Diceros bicornis minor: one gene and its partners. The protein of the gene in region 3 purifies or fractionates together with the protein of the main gene of each other region. This does not show direct contact. Links are inferred from orthologs where the notes say so. Each region holds a gene or a part of one and is shown on either strand. Other genes may lie near its edges. The genes, in order: tubulin alpha-1A chain, ENDOG and DNAJA1.

What was found.
Region 1: the proteins of DNAJA1 (region 3) and tubulin alpha-1A chain purify together in Homo sapiens (affinity purification with mass spectrometry; 3 studies listed by BioGRID and IntAct, with this or other methods). This does not show direct contact. The link is inferred for Diceros bicornis minor from reciprocal best matches to the Homo sapiens genes DNAJA1 and TUBA1A.
Region 2: the proteins of DNAJA1 (region 3) and ENDOG purify together in Homo sapiens (affinity purification with mass spectrometry; 3 studies listed by BioGRID and IntAct, counting the BioPlex papers as one, with this or other methods). This does not show direct contact. The link is inferred for Diceros bicornis minor from reciprocal best matches to the Homo sapiens genes DNAJA1 and ENDOG.

The regions. Positions count from the first base shown.
Region 1 is NC_080756.1:20,482,672-20,486,807, forward strand, and holds the start of tubulin alpha-1A chain, read left to right. Parts: upstream 1-1,597; 5' UTR 1,598-1,700; coding exon 1,701-1,703; intron 1,704-3,727; coding exon 3,728-3,950; intron 3,951-4,092; coding exon 4,093-4,136. UniProt on the Homo sapiens protein: Tubulin is the major constituent of microtubules, a cylinder consisting of laterally associated linear protofilaments composed of alpha- and beta-tubulin heterodimers.
Region 2 is NC_080767.1:36,566,397-36,570,532, reverse strand, and holds the start of ENDOG (endonuclease G, mitochondrial), read right to left. Parts: upstream 2,609-4,136; 5' UTR 2,547-2,608; coding exon 2,037-2,546; intron 856-2,036; coding exon 746-855; intron 1-745. UniProt on the Homo sapiens protein: Endonuclease that preferentially catalyzes the cleavage of double-stranded 5-hydroxymethylcytosine (5hmC)-modified DNA.
Region 3 is NC_080761.1:53,106,049-53,110,184, forward strand, and holds the start of DNAJA1 (dnaJ homolog subfamily A member 1), read left to right. Parts: upstream 1-1,811; 5' UTR 1,812-1,916; intron 1,917-3,029; 5' UTR 3,030-3,032; coding exon 3,033-3,164; intron 3,165-3,316; coding exon 3,317-3,494; intron 3,495-4,136.

The DNA of each region.
Region 1 (4,136 bases), on a different chromosome or scaffold from region 3:
CATGTAAAGTAGAGCTACGGATAGCAGGCTAGAAAAATCCATGGCCGCCATTGTCACACCACAACCTGCAGCAGCTGTCTCCTCAAGTCCCTCCCTCCCACACCCTGCTCTGCCTGCCAGCCCAGCAGGAATGAATGGGCTCTACAGAGCACAGTAAATGGTGCTGCAGACCCTGAAAATCTGTTGCTGAAAACTGAAAGAAAAATTATCTGCCAAAATACAAATTTTCAATTTTGGTAGCCATAAGAAACCTCTTTACCTCTGAAATTTCATTAGCAACGTCAGGTGGTACCCAGTCCAGAGTCTGATTCTGTATAGCCCATCCTTGTTGATAATGGAGCCTTTCTAAATAGCAAAAGAATGTTACTGCAATCCATTTCCTAGGGGTGAAAGCAAAGCCTTTTTGACCCAAGAGGCAGTTGAGCAACCACCAGAGTCTCTAGTTGAATAGCAACCATGTGAGGCTGGCAACAATTCCCAGTTTGAAGCTCAATCTCAGAGGAGGAGATTTACCAAATACACACAAGCACCACATAAAAAAGAAATGCAGTTATTGAGCTGACATCACACAGTTGTCTGTGGAAGGAGGCAACATTACAAAATGGTCTTCTTTTTACATTATACAACTCTCCTCCCTTTTAATTTGGTGTCTCAGTTATTTTTCTCTTTCCAGAAAAGAGAATGATGCAGAATATAACTGCATAACTGCACAGGTAGCACTAACTTCTGAACTCAATTCTTCCTCCCTGTATTTTCTCAATTGTATATCAGGAAAGACGATTCACTTTAAGGAACAATACACTACATAAAATATATTACATAGACTTCTGGTAAAGGAATATTTCTAGTAGACTATGATACGTTCATTAGATCTTAACTATTGCCATGTTAAAACTACTTGTGTGCTTCCATATTTAGTACTGTTATTCATTCCATCTTCCATTTTTGTTTAGCCATTTGCGGGAGGGGTGCAGAAGAAGGTCTGAAAATAAATCACTTGAACTTGAGAAACCATTTTGTACGGCTCTATTATTGAACTGTTTTTAAATTAAAAAAAAAAAATCACATTTACCCAAGCCATTTTAAGCATCATTCCCATCTTCTCTCCTACTTTATTTTAAAGCAACTAGAGATGTTGAATCCTCACCAAATGTAGTCGAGTTTAGTATACTTTGAGGGAGGGGCTGGGAGTAATTTTCCGTTAAATATTTCATCTCAACACAAATTCTACTATCCAGTGATGGGAAAAACCTTACACTGGTGATTTTAACTGGAGTTTGAGGTTTAAGCAATATAAAATCATCCAACCCCAGTTCTCTTTCTTTCCTTTTCCCCCCCTCCCCAACCCCACCCCATAATGGATGCTCGGCTGACTGTTTTTGCACGGTCTCTTTGTCTGGAGGATGCAAACAGTCTATGGATGCTAGGGAAAAAGGGGTGGGGGAGAGATTACCTCATCCCATGTCGCTTGCACCAATCACCTCTCTCCCGTCGTGGCTTCTCTGGGCAGATTGAGGGGTCTGGACCAACAGGAAAAGGCCCCAGCCCATCCCCATGGTGACCGAGTTGTATATAGGGAGCCGCATCCACCCATGTGCCGCAGGTTCTCTTACATCGACCGCCTAAGAGTCGCGCTGTAAGAAGCAACAACCTCTCCTCTTCCTCTTCGCCATCTGCTCAGCAGCCGCAAAGCAGCAACCATGGTAAGAATCTCTTTTCTCGGCTTTTTGTGGCCGTTGGGTGGGGTCAATCTCCCAGGATCTACTTGGAAAATCTTAAGCCCTTTTTTCTTTACAACTCCTTTGAGTAACGGTAGCTTATGCTTTGTTAGCGAGGTTTAGCTTTGCCCCAAATCCTTGAACCCGGCGGCCGCCGCAGTGCAGGGTGCAGGAGCCCAGCCAGAACTGCGCCCAGGGCGCAGGAGACCCGTGGGGAAGAACAAAGGCGGCGCACAGGGAGTTTTTGTTATCCGAGCCCTTCGGTACCGCAGGCAGCCCCTCTGTCGGTGACGAAAGGGTCTGTGGCAGGGAATGGCGATCGTGGCGTCGCCTGCTCGGCTCCCGTGTATGTGCGTACGGTATTCGTGTGACGCAGAGGGTCTCTTTTCTTCCTCGCGTTGTTCCCCAGAGGCAGGGAGAGGAGTCGTCGTCCAAAAAGACCAGGGGTCGGTGGGTGTGGCGGGGAGAGAAGGACAGGGACAAAGCGGAGCCTTGGGTTAGTATAAAAAGGTCCCTCCGCGACTCGTTGGTATTTTAGAAAGATACCCGTATATTAACCGGGCAAAATGGTTAGTTTTTGTTGGAGCCGCTGGCTGCCGGCGTCGGGGCGGCGCCGGGGCGGAGTTGTTTGTTTCTGGCTGCTTCTGCCTTGGAGCCACTGGGCGGGGTTCGCCCTCGCTAAACCTTCTCTGTCAAAAGACTTTTAATAAAAGCCTTTCATCGTTGTGGAACTGTAGGCGTTAAAAGGTTTATCATTCCTTGTTAAAACTTAGAGGAAATATTTTTTCTTGAGGAGCAAAATCACAGTTCACTTGACAAGCCCTTTAAAGTCTGGTCTGGGGCCGCCCCGCCCTGACTGACTCGAGTCTGTGTGTGTGTCTGTCTTGGCCGCACGTCCAGCAAGGGAGAAAGCCCACTTTGTGAGGTAGGGTACCCTAATGCTCAGGACCCAGGGAAACGCCCTCCCCAATATATCAGACAATGGATAGACAATGGAGGTTGTAGCCATAAAGACTGTAGAGAAGAAAATCTCTATTGAATGTGATGAGTATGAATATTCTGTGGTGGGAAGAGAATCTCAGAATGAAAATACTATTTTGTTATTTTAAATAAGTATTCCATTATCCTTTCACTGGGCTTTTATTCTTTGGTAGCTTCTCATGTGATACTTGTTTCTAATTTAGGAACTTGTTTTAAAGATACTAATTTTCAGTTTTTTGCAGTGGAGAAGATTCTGGAAAAACTTTTTTTTAAAGTAATGAAATTGCCGCAAAGAAGAATTATACTTTGTGTCCAGCTGTTTTTTGTTCTAGTGCATCTTCCTTAATTCATTTCAATTTAGGCATATGGTCCCAGCCTGGGTCAGAGGAGGAAAACTGGCAGAATAGCAGAATGAGATCATGTAGGCAGTTTCTGGAAATAGAGCTTGCTCTGTTAAATAATGTAGCAGACAGTACAGGCTAGCACCAGGCACAGCAAATACAGCAATGCAGCAATGCAGAGGCAGACCTTGTTTAGCTTCCAATCCGCTGGTACTGATGGATTCTGCAGATAGACTGCAGAAGGGTGTGGCTTCTAACATCAGCTGCAGTACAGATGTCCATGTTGAAATACCAAGTCATATTCAGAAGAAACTCTCATCTTTATTTAAAGGGGAAGGAGGTAGTAATATTGATTCCAATTGATTAATGGTCGAATTTAATTTACTTCATTTTACAAAATCTGTGCTTCGAATATTTTAAATATGAAAAAAATCTTCTAGTCAAGCATGGCTGTGGGAACAATGGACTTGTACCACGTGCTAAACAGTGCAACATTATTCAGATCACACCCATCTGCAGCATTTGTAGCAGGTGCTTCTCCTTAATCATTTCTATTGTGTTAGGGATATGACCTCAAATAAATTTGAAGAATACCTGTATATTACTAGAAATATTTTTAGAAATTTACTGAAAATTCAAAATTCTAACACAACCCAATTTTACAATTTTTCTCTTTCCTTCCCACAGCGTGAGTGCATCTCCATCCACGTTGGCCAGGCTGGTGTCCAGATCGGCAATGCCTGCTGGGAGCTCTACTGCCTGGAACACGGCATCCAGCCCGATGGCCAGATGCCAAGTGACAAGACCATTGGGGGAGGAGATGACTCCTTCAACACCTTCTTCAGTGAGACGGGTGCTGGCAAGCATGTGCCCAGGGCAGTGTTTGTAGACCTGGAACCCACAGTCATTGGTGAGTTGACCACACTAACCTGAGTGAGATCCCAGGGGTCTGGGACAGGAGGTCTGTCCTGGGGGCTCCGCTGATGCCCTGGGGTTGAGCAGGCTTGTGCAGGTGGTTAGTGATGGGTGGCTGCTTTGTCTTCCTTTTCCAGATGAGGTTCGCACTGGCACCTACCGCCAGCTCTTCCACCCTGAG
Region 2 (4,136 bases), on a different chromosome or scaffold from region 3:
GGTGAAGCAGGGTGGCTGGGGGCAATAAATGCTGCTGAAGGAATCAGGCCTTCTCAAGATTCCCATTTGTCCCGCACACGTGACCACTGTGTCTCCCCGTGGAGGGTGAGCACCAGGGGGGCAAGGCTGGGACAGCTGAATTCCCAGCCCCAGCACAGGGGGCCTGATGCACAGTGGTGCCTGAACACTGGAGGGGGACTTCCGGGCTTCCCCCAGCAGAGTCTGCTCCATCTCAGCAGGCCATAGGAGGCACTTGCTAATTCAGGGTTATCAGTGCCCCAGCCACCGCCTCAGCCAGCCCATACTGAGCCCTTACTAGGGTGACATCCACCTTCCTACTCTGTCCCCTAATAGCTAGGAGGTAGGTAACTGGCATTTTCCCAATGTTAGAGGAGAGGACGTGAGGTCATTTGCGCACAGTACTGAGACTAGGCGACGGGGCCTGGGCTCCATCCCAGGCCTGTGGACTGGGAGCCAGCTGCTGTGCCACAACCCACTGCCTCCCTCATGCCCGTCTTCAGCGGGCCAGAAAAACCATTGAGCATGCCAGGGGGCGCTCAGTCCCTTCTACCGGCAGACAGGGCTGCAGAGGAACAAGCGTGAAGGCTCAGGGTCAGGAAGATGGAGTGGTGACCTGGTGGTGCTGGCACCAAGCCTGGGGTAAGCCTGGGCAGGGTGAGTGGCAGGAGGGGGCCTCTGGTGAGGGAGGCCCTATCGTCCCCAGGGCCCCCAGTTGTAGTCTTACCTGGGCAGGAAGAGCGGCCCCGTACAGACATAGACGTTTTGGTAGGCACGGGTCAGGCTTCGGCTGTACTTCTCCAGGTTGTTCCAGGCGTTCTGGTTGAGGTGGGGCACCTGGTGGGAGAAGTGGGGCTCAGGGCCTGTGGCTGGGACCTTTCCTCTCTGTCAGAGGGGCTGCCCCAGGCCCTGAGGGGCGGGCACTGGCACCAAGCCAGGAGATTGGTGGGGGGGGGGGGTAACAGAGGGAACAGGTTAAAGGAAAGGAGAGTCGCTCCAGGCCACCTGGCCATGAGGGTAGAGTCCAGATAGAGCTCAAGGGGGAGCTAGCTCACCCCCATCTAGCATGAGAGGACTAGCACCCCAGGTTTCAAAGCCATTTCTCAGGTCCATAGAGCCATACGAAGGAAAGGGACACATCTCCTTTCAAAGAGAGAAACTGAGGCCCGCCCCTGCCCCCAGGGGCTCATGGGAAGGCCAGCTCACCCAACCATCTGTCCTTTCCTTTTCCCAATCAACCGCGTGCAGAGCACAGCTGGGAACATAGTGAATCTGCTGGACTCCATCACTTGGGCTCTCCAGTCCTCAGTATGGTGTCGAGTTAAATGTGTGGGGGACTGTGCTGCTGGGAGCACAGAAGTCAGGTGCAGAGGCTCAGACCCCACGGGCTTCCCCCAGAGCCCCACATCAGTCTCCACCCACTGGGTGCCAGGCCCTGCTTCGAACAGGGCTAGAGGTAGGGTGGCTTGTCCAGGGGGCACAGTGACTGCTACTAACAGCCGACTGACTGCGTGCCAAGTAACTTTCCTTTTACTCCTGGAAGGCAGGCAGGCAGGGGAGGACAGTGGCTGAAAGTTCAGGGTCCCCTAGACAGACTCCCTGCGTCTCCTCTTGCTGTGTGACACTAGGCCAGTCACTCTGCCTGAGTCTCAGTTCTCTCATTATAGCTAACATTTATTGAATGCTTGCCATGGGCCAGGAAGTGTGCTCAGTACTTTTATATGCATTGTGTCTTCAGTTCCTCCGCGCTACTGCAGGAGATAGGTGAATAACAGTTTATCCCCATTTTACAGACAAGGAAACTGAGGCTTAGGGAGGCGCCCAGGGGCCCTGTGTTAAGGTCAGCCTGCAGAGCAGGTGCTCGCGCCCCAGCGCTCCGTCCCTCCCGCCTCGGGCGCGCGGGGTGATGACCGCGAGCGCGCACCAGGCAGCTTCCCCATCCTGCAGAGGGGCAAACCGAGACTCAGAGAGGGAGGCGCTGGCCCCGCTCTCCGCCGCCGGCCGGGGCGCGGCGCTACCTGTGGCGCGACATTGCTCAGGTAGAAGGTGTCGTCCATGGCCTTCTGGCTCCAGCAGTGGTTGGCGGCGGCGGCGAGGTGGCCGCGGTCGAAGCCGCTGCCGCGGTAGTCGGCGTTGGTGGCGCGGTGGTACGCGTGCACCGAGTCGTCCTCGCGGAAGTCGCACGAGCGGCGGTCGCCGTCGCCGCGGAGCCGCTCGGGCCGCAGCTGCTCGACCACCCAGAGCGCGCCGCGGGTGCGCGGGTCGTAGCACAGCACGTACGACTCGCGGCTCTTGAGCTGCGCCACCCCGGGCAGCCCGTACTTGGCCAGCTCGCCGGGGCCGCCGCCCGCCGGGCCCCCGGGCAGGGCGGGCAGGTCGGCCGCCGCCGCCACGGGGAGCACGGGCAGCCGGCCCAGCAGCCCCGGTGCCGCCCGCGCGTCCGCCCGCCGCCGCCGCCGCCAGCTCTCGGCGGCCGCGCCCAGCCCCGCGCCCAGCGCCAGGATCAGCCCGGCCCGCAGCGCCTGCATGGCCGGGGAGCAGGGCCGCAGCGCGGGTGGAGGGTGAGGCAGGGCGACCCGCGGCGCCGACCGAACGCCCCGACTTCGGGCGTCCGACCCGCGAGGCTCTTAAAGGGGCCGCGCCGGCCTGCAGGGCCCACAGCCGGGAAAGTGCCGGGTCGGGGCGTGGGAGGGTGGGATGTCCGTCCCCTCTACTAACTGACGCTCCGAAGTACTTGGGACTCCAACAGACGCCGTCGGGACCGGCTCGGAGTGGACGGCACGGCGCCCTTTCTTTGCCCTTTTAAGAAGCGGACCTGAGGGGGGGAGGGCAGGACACCGCCGTCTAGGCTCGTGATTGGCCACCGCCAGGCCCGGCTCCGCCCCGCCCCGCCCCCTCTCGGGTCTCCACCGAGGGCCCCTCCTCCTCCGCGCCTGTGCAAAGAGCTCTAACTTAAAGAGCGCCAAGGACACGTGAAGCACCGGTCTAAAGCGCTTCCATGACTACTTGATTTAATCCTCAAGAGGCCCGAGAGGGAGCTCCTCGATGGCAGAACAAGGACAAGACCCCAGGTCTGTCTGACGCGAGTCTATCCTCCTAACCATCACACCATAAGGCAACAATTCTAGGAGACTGGCAAAGATTTTAACACCCAGCGTGAGGGCAACGATGCAGGTGGCCGATGCTCACTGCTGGTTGGAACAGAAACTGATACCAGAAAGCAGCCTGGCAGTGTATATGAAAAGCCTTAAAAAGGCTCATACCTTTCATCCCACCTAGGGGACTGAGCTGGGGAAATAAACTGAGAATGCGAGGATTTCAAACACGAGTCTTCCCCACAGTATTACTTACGATAGAGGCTGGGAAATAAGCAAAATATTCAGAAATAGGGACTAGATCCAGACATTTTTAGCATATTAGATAGAACAGTATATAGCCCATAAAAGTATTTTAAAATCATGCAACAACTTGCTCATCACCAAATGTGATGGGGAGACAATACACAAAACTATATATATCAAGAAAATGACAATGATGTAATAAAAATTACATCTGCGAAGAAAAGACTAACATGTTCTCAGTGATTTTCTCCAGATTGTGGGATATGAGTGACTTGTTTTATTGACATGTCTTTGAATTTTCAATCTAAAATATAACTTGCTGTATAACCATGTATGCGATGCCTTCTTCCCCAGTCCACACTCCCTCCTCCTTCCAGGTGCAGACTGCAGTGGGTGAATGAGAAGAGCTGAACAGGCTCTTCCAACAAGAACTTCCTGGCCTTTTTCTTAGACCATCTAAGAGCCTCCTGACTCCATGCCTGCTCAAACTTTTTTCTCCCTGCTCTGAGGTTCAAAGGTTTCAGCCCATCACAGCACCAAAGCCCATTGCAAAGAACACATGATTTATTAAAGACAACTTGTCATCAACAGCATCGACTCAAGAACAAAACTGATGAACAAACAGAAGCAAACATTCTGACCCTCTGGAGTGAGACCTGCTGAATTCAGACAGCCCAATCTGTAAGTGTCCAAAGTCCTGCGGGCAGCTTTCCAAGAGGGAAGCCTCAGGCACTCCGGCACTCTGGGGACCTCCCTTGAGAGGCTGGGGAGGGGACT
Region 3 (4,136 bases):
CCTGCCTGGCAGCATTAGACTTCTAGTAACTGCTAGTGAAAAGGAAAAACTTTATACCAGAGGTGGTATTTGAGAAGGTAACATCTAAGATTGGAAAAATTAGGTGTTTGTCAGCCAGAACAAAAGCACAGAGAGGTGAAAAAGTGCCTCTGGGAAACTGCAGATAGTTCGGTGTGACTGGCATGCACCTGTTTTGTTGTTTTGTTTTTTTGCGAGGAAGATCAGCCCTGAGCTAACATCCATGCCAATCCTCCTTTTTTTTTGCTGAGGAAAACCGGCCTTGGGCTAACATCTGTGCCCATCTTCCTGCATCTTATATAGGACACTGCCACAGCACAGCCTGACAAGCGGCACATGGGCAAGTGCCCAGGATCTGAACCCCCGCCGCCAGCAGTGGAGCGTGGGCACTTAACCGCTATGCCACGGGCCGGCCCCTGCATGCACCATTTAAATAAAAGAGAGAAGACTGAATACGCATGGGGACGCCTCCAGGATAAAGTTCAAAAACTGTTTAGCAAGACATACCAAGAGGTGTTCCCCAACTAGCTCTGAACCCACACTCCCTGCCACTCCAGCTCCCTTAGCCCTGGCTATATCCAGTTACTTGCAATTTCCTGGAAACATATTCTTTCACACCTCAGCCGTCCTTTGTACTTGTCTTTTGCTGGGAATGCTCTTCTTTCTTCAAAACTCTGCTCAACCGCCCCTTTCCCAAGGAAGCCTTCCCTGTTCCATCAGATGAATACAGGAGCCTCTCCCCGGCTAACCTGTCTTGTGGTGCCCTTATAGTGCATTGACTTGTCTGGTTCCCCACTGAAATCTAAGCAATGTGAACCCGGCTTTTCCAATTTTGCATCTCCAGATTTCTTGGTGCTAGATACTCCTAGCGGTGGTGTTCAGGGAGGAAGACAGACTCTCTTTTCCATTATACCCCCGTTCCAACATTTGAAAGCCCACAATCACTTTGCAGACCGTAGATCACGGTTCACAGACCTGGGGGGGGGGGGGCTTAAAAGTTAAGTCAGGTAATTGAAACAATTTGTTAGCTACCCTTGGTGGCCACTCTGTGTCCCCGGCTCGCCAAACCGGGGAACGCCCAGCCAGAGCAGTCCATGGCGCTCAGTCTGCTCCAAAGCATGACAACGTCTCCCCGTTCAGCGCTGCCCTGAGCCCAGCGTGCAGGAGCCAGGAGGCCGCGGCAGACAACGTGTCTCGGAGGCTGGACTTGCACAGAGAGCTCTTCCGAGGCCGCGGGCTGCGCGTGAAAACGAACCAGACCCAAGGCCTGCGGGACTGTTCTGTGGCCCAGGACCCTCTTGCTCAGCATTTCCTGCTCGGCGGGTTCCCAGAACCTCAGGGCTAAGGAAGCACGCCGGTGAGAGGCCCCAAGAGGCGAGCGAGGCGCCAGCGGGAAGAGGCGCGGAGGGGCTTTGTCCCGAGATGCCCGCCCCGCACCCAGCGCCCGCCGGGCCGGTGCCCGCGTCCCCCCGTCCCCGCGGGCCCCGGCCGCCGCCTCGCCGGTGTGGGCACCCAGCTGCAGAGCACCGGGGCAGGCCCCGCTCCCGCCCGACACTTCCGCACTCTAGGGCCGACCGGCGGAAAAAAAGGGCTCCAGAAAGTTCCACGAGCGCCGGGAACCCAGGCTAGTGCCCACCCCCACAAGGCCCTTCGGCAAGCCCCTCCCGGCCCGAGCGCCCCCGCGCCGTTGCCGGGCAACCGCGGGGCGGTGGGAGCGCCGGGAAGGGCGGGACTTCCGGTGGGTGACGCGACCGAGCTCGGCTACAAAAGACGACGGCTGCGGCGCGCCGGGGGAACTTTCCAGAACGCCCGGTGTGAGGCGGAGGAGCCGCGACCCGAGCTGCGCACAGCAACGCGCTCCCTCCCGCTCCCCCGCGCCGGCCTCGGCCCGCTCACCGGTGAGTGTCGGCCCCCGCGCGTCCCCTGGCCCCCATGGCGGCGCCGGGAGCCGGAGGGAGCCGCGGCCGGGGGCGGTTGGCTCCGCGTGGGCGGGAGGGTTGTCGGTTCCCGGACCCACGATCTCCTCCTTGGAGGGCTGGTGTAGTGCCCGGCCACCCATCCCCGGCCCGCAGCGAGCGACCCCGAGATTCTCCCGAAGTTTCCCCGCTCCCCATCCAGCTTGAGGTCCCCGCGGACCCGCCGGCGGCGGCTTGCCCGCGCGCGCGCGCCCCCCAGCGACCCTCTGCCCGCGCTCGCCGGGGTGGGCGACTCTCCGCGCACGCGCAGAGGAGCCGAGGGGCGAGGGGCTGCGGGCGGAGCGGGCGGAGGCTGCAGGTTTCGCTTCTCCGCTCTGCCCTCCTTCTCTTTGTTGAGCCCTGGGCTTCGCCTCCCGCCGCTCGATCTCGGGTGGGAGGGAGAAAAGGAAACCTTCACCGTCGGCGCCCGGCGCAGGGGGAAACCTGCCGACGTGTAGAGTGGGCCGGCTCGTGGAGGCAAGGGGGGTTCCGCGGGCGAAGCCGAGGAGCTCTAAGTCCTGTGATTGAGAAACATCCTTGGGGTTGAGGGGGAGGGGAGCCTGCTCTCTGGCGCCGGCGTTCTTAATTAGTTTCAAAACCCCTCCCAGCCCCCTTGTGCCCAGGTGTCTTTTCTTCTCTGGAGGGTATGGTTTATCAGATTTACCGAAGACGAAGATGATGTAATAACCAGTGGACTGAACCTATTAGTGCTCCTTTTGATTACTGCTGCCGCTCACTGCTTGGGGAGGCGAACAGGAAGGGTCCAGATAATAGTCGCGTTAGTGTGGAGGCTTTCATGTGGGAGAGGGGAACCAGCTGCTGTAGAAGGAGGCTCTTGAATTATTCCCTGATAATTATTAGCTTATATTTAGTCTGTTAGAACTCAGGGCTGAATTATCGAAGGGATCGTTACCTTCTCCGTGAACTTTAGGGAAGGCGGTGCTCTTATAATCAGATTTGGCGAAGAACAGATTTCTCTGCTTAACTCTGATTTTACTAATTAAAACTACCAGTTGAAAGTCGGTTAAAATTGCCTTTTCTTGTTTTATGCTGTAGAAAATGGTGAAAGAAACCACATACTATGATGTTTTGGGGGTCAAACCCAATGCTACCCAGGAAGAACTGAAAAAGGCTTACAGAAAACTGGCGTTGAAGTATCACCCTGATAAAAATCCAAACGAAGGCGAGAAGGCAAGTAGCATGCTCATATTAAACATAGCTGGATAGTTCTTTGCCAGGTGTATGGTATTTCTATTACAACCTGAAATTGACTATGTCTAATATAGTGGTTTTGCTTTGTAGTGTTTTTTTTAGTGAAATTTATTCCCTTTTTTCTCAAACAGTTTAAACAGATATCTCAAGCTTATGAAGTGCTGTCTGATGCAAAGAAAAGGGAATTATATGACAAAGGAGGAGAACAAGCCATTAAAGAAGGTGGCGCAGGTGGCGGTTTTGGCTCCCCCATGGACATCTTTGATATGTTTTTTGGAGGAGGAGGAAGGATGCAGAGAGAAAGGAGAGGTAAGAAGAGCCTAGTCCCCCTGCAGCAAATTAAAGAAGCCCTGGGTCAGAGCAAATTCTTGAGAATTCACTTATTTTAAATGCTTATTTATGTGTCGGTATAGTGTTGCAAAGTGACCATAAACTGCCACTTTGATTTACGGTATAGTTTTTTTAAATGAGATTTGATGTAACTAAAAATAGCTAAGCCAATCTAGTGCTAACAAGTGAGTGCTTCTAAAGCTCTCAGATACAGACGATTTCTGTGAGGTTATCCGGCATTAATTACAGAAACAAAGAATAGGCACATAATTTTTTTTTAAATTTAAAAATTAAAAAAAAATTTAAATTTTTACAAATCTTATTTGACCCCACCCACCTAGTGGGAGGTACTGACAAGAGGGAGTTAAAGTTCAGAAACCTAAAGTTTCCTCCAGGTTGGATGTAGCAAGGCAGCAGTTGAGTCAGGGTTGGAGCACAGGTTCTTTGCCAGCAAGTAGCCCGCTGTCCCTTGAATCTTGCTTTGGCTTTCTTGTATCAGAGTATGTGTCCTAACATTTAACAGAAGTGTGGTTTCTGAGCTGTGGAAATATTCTTCATAGGAGTACAGTGTTGGGGTCAGAGAGTTAGTCTCACTTTGTTCCCAGTAGGGTTTATACAAAC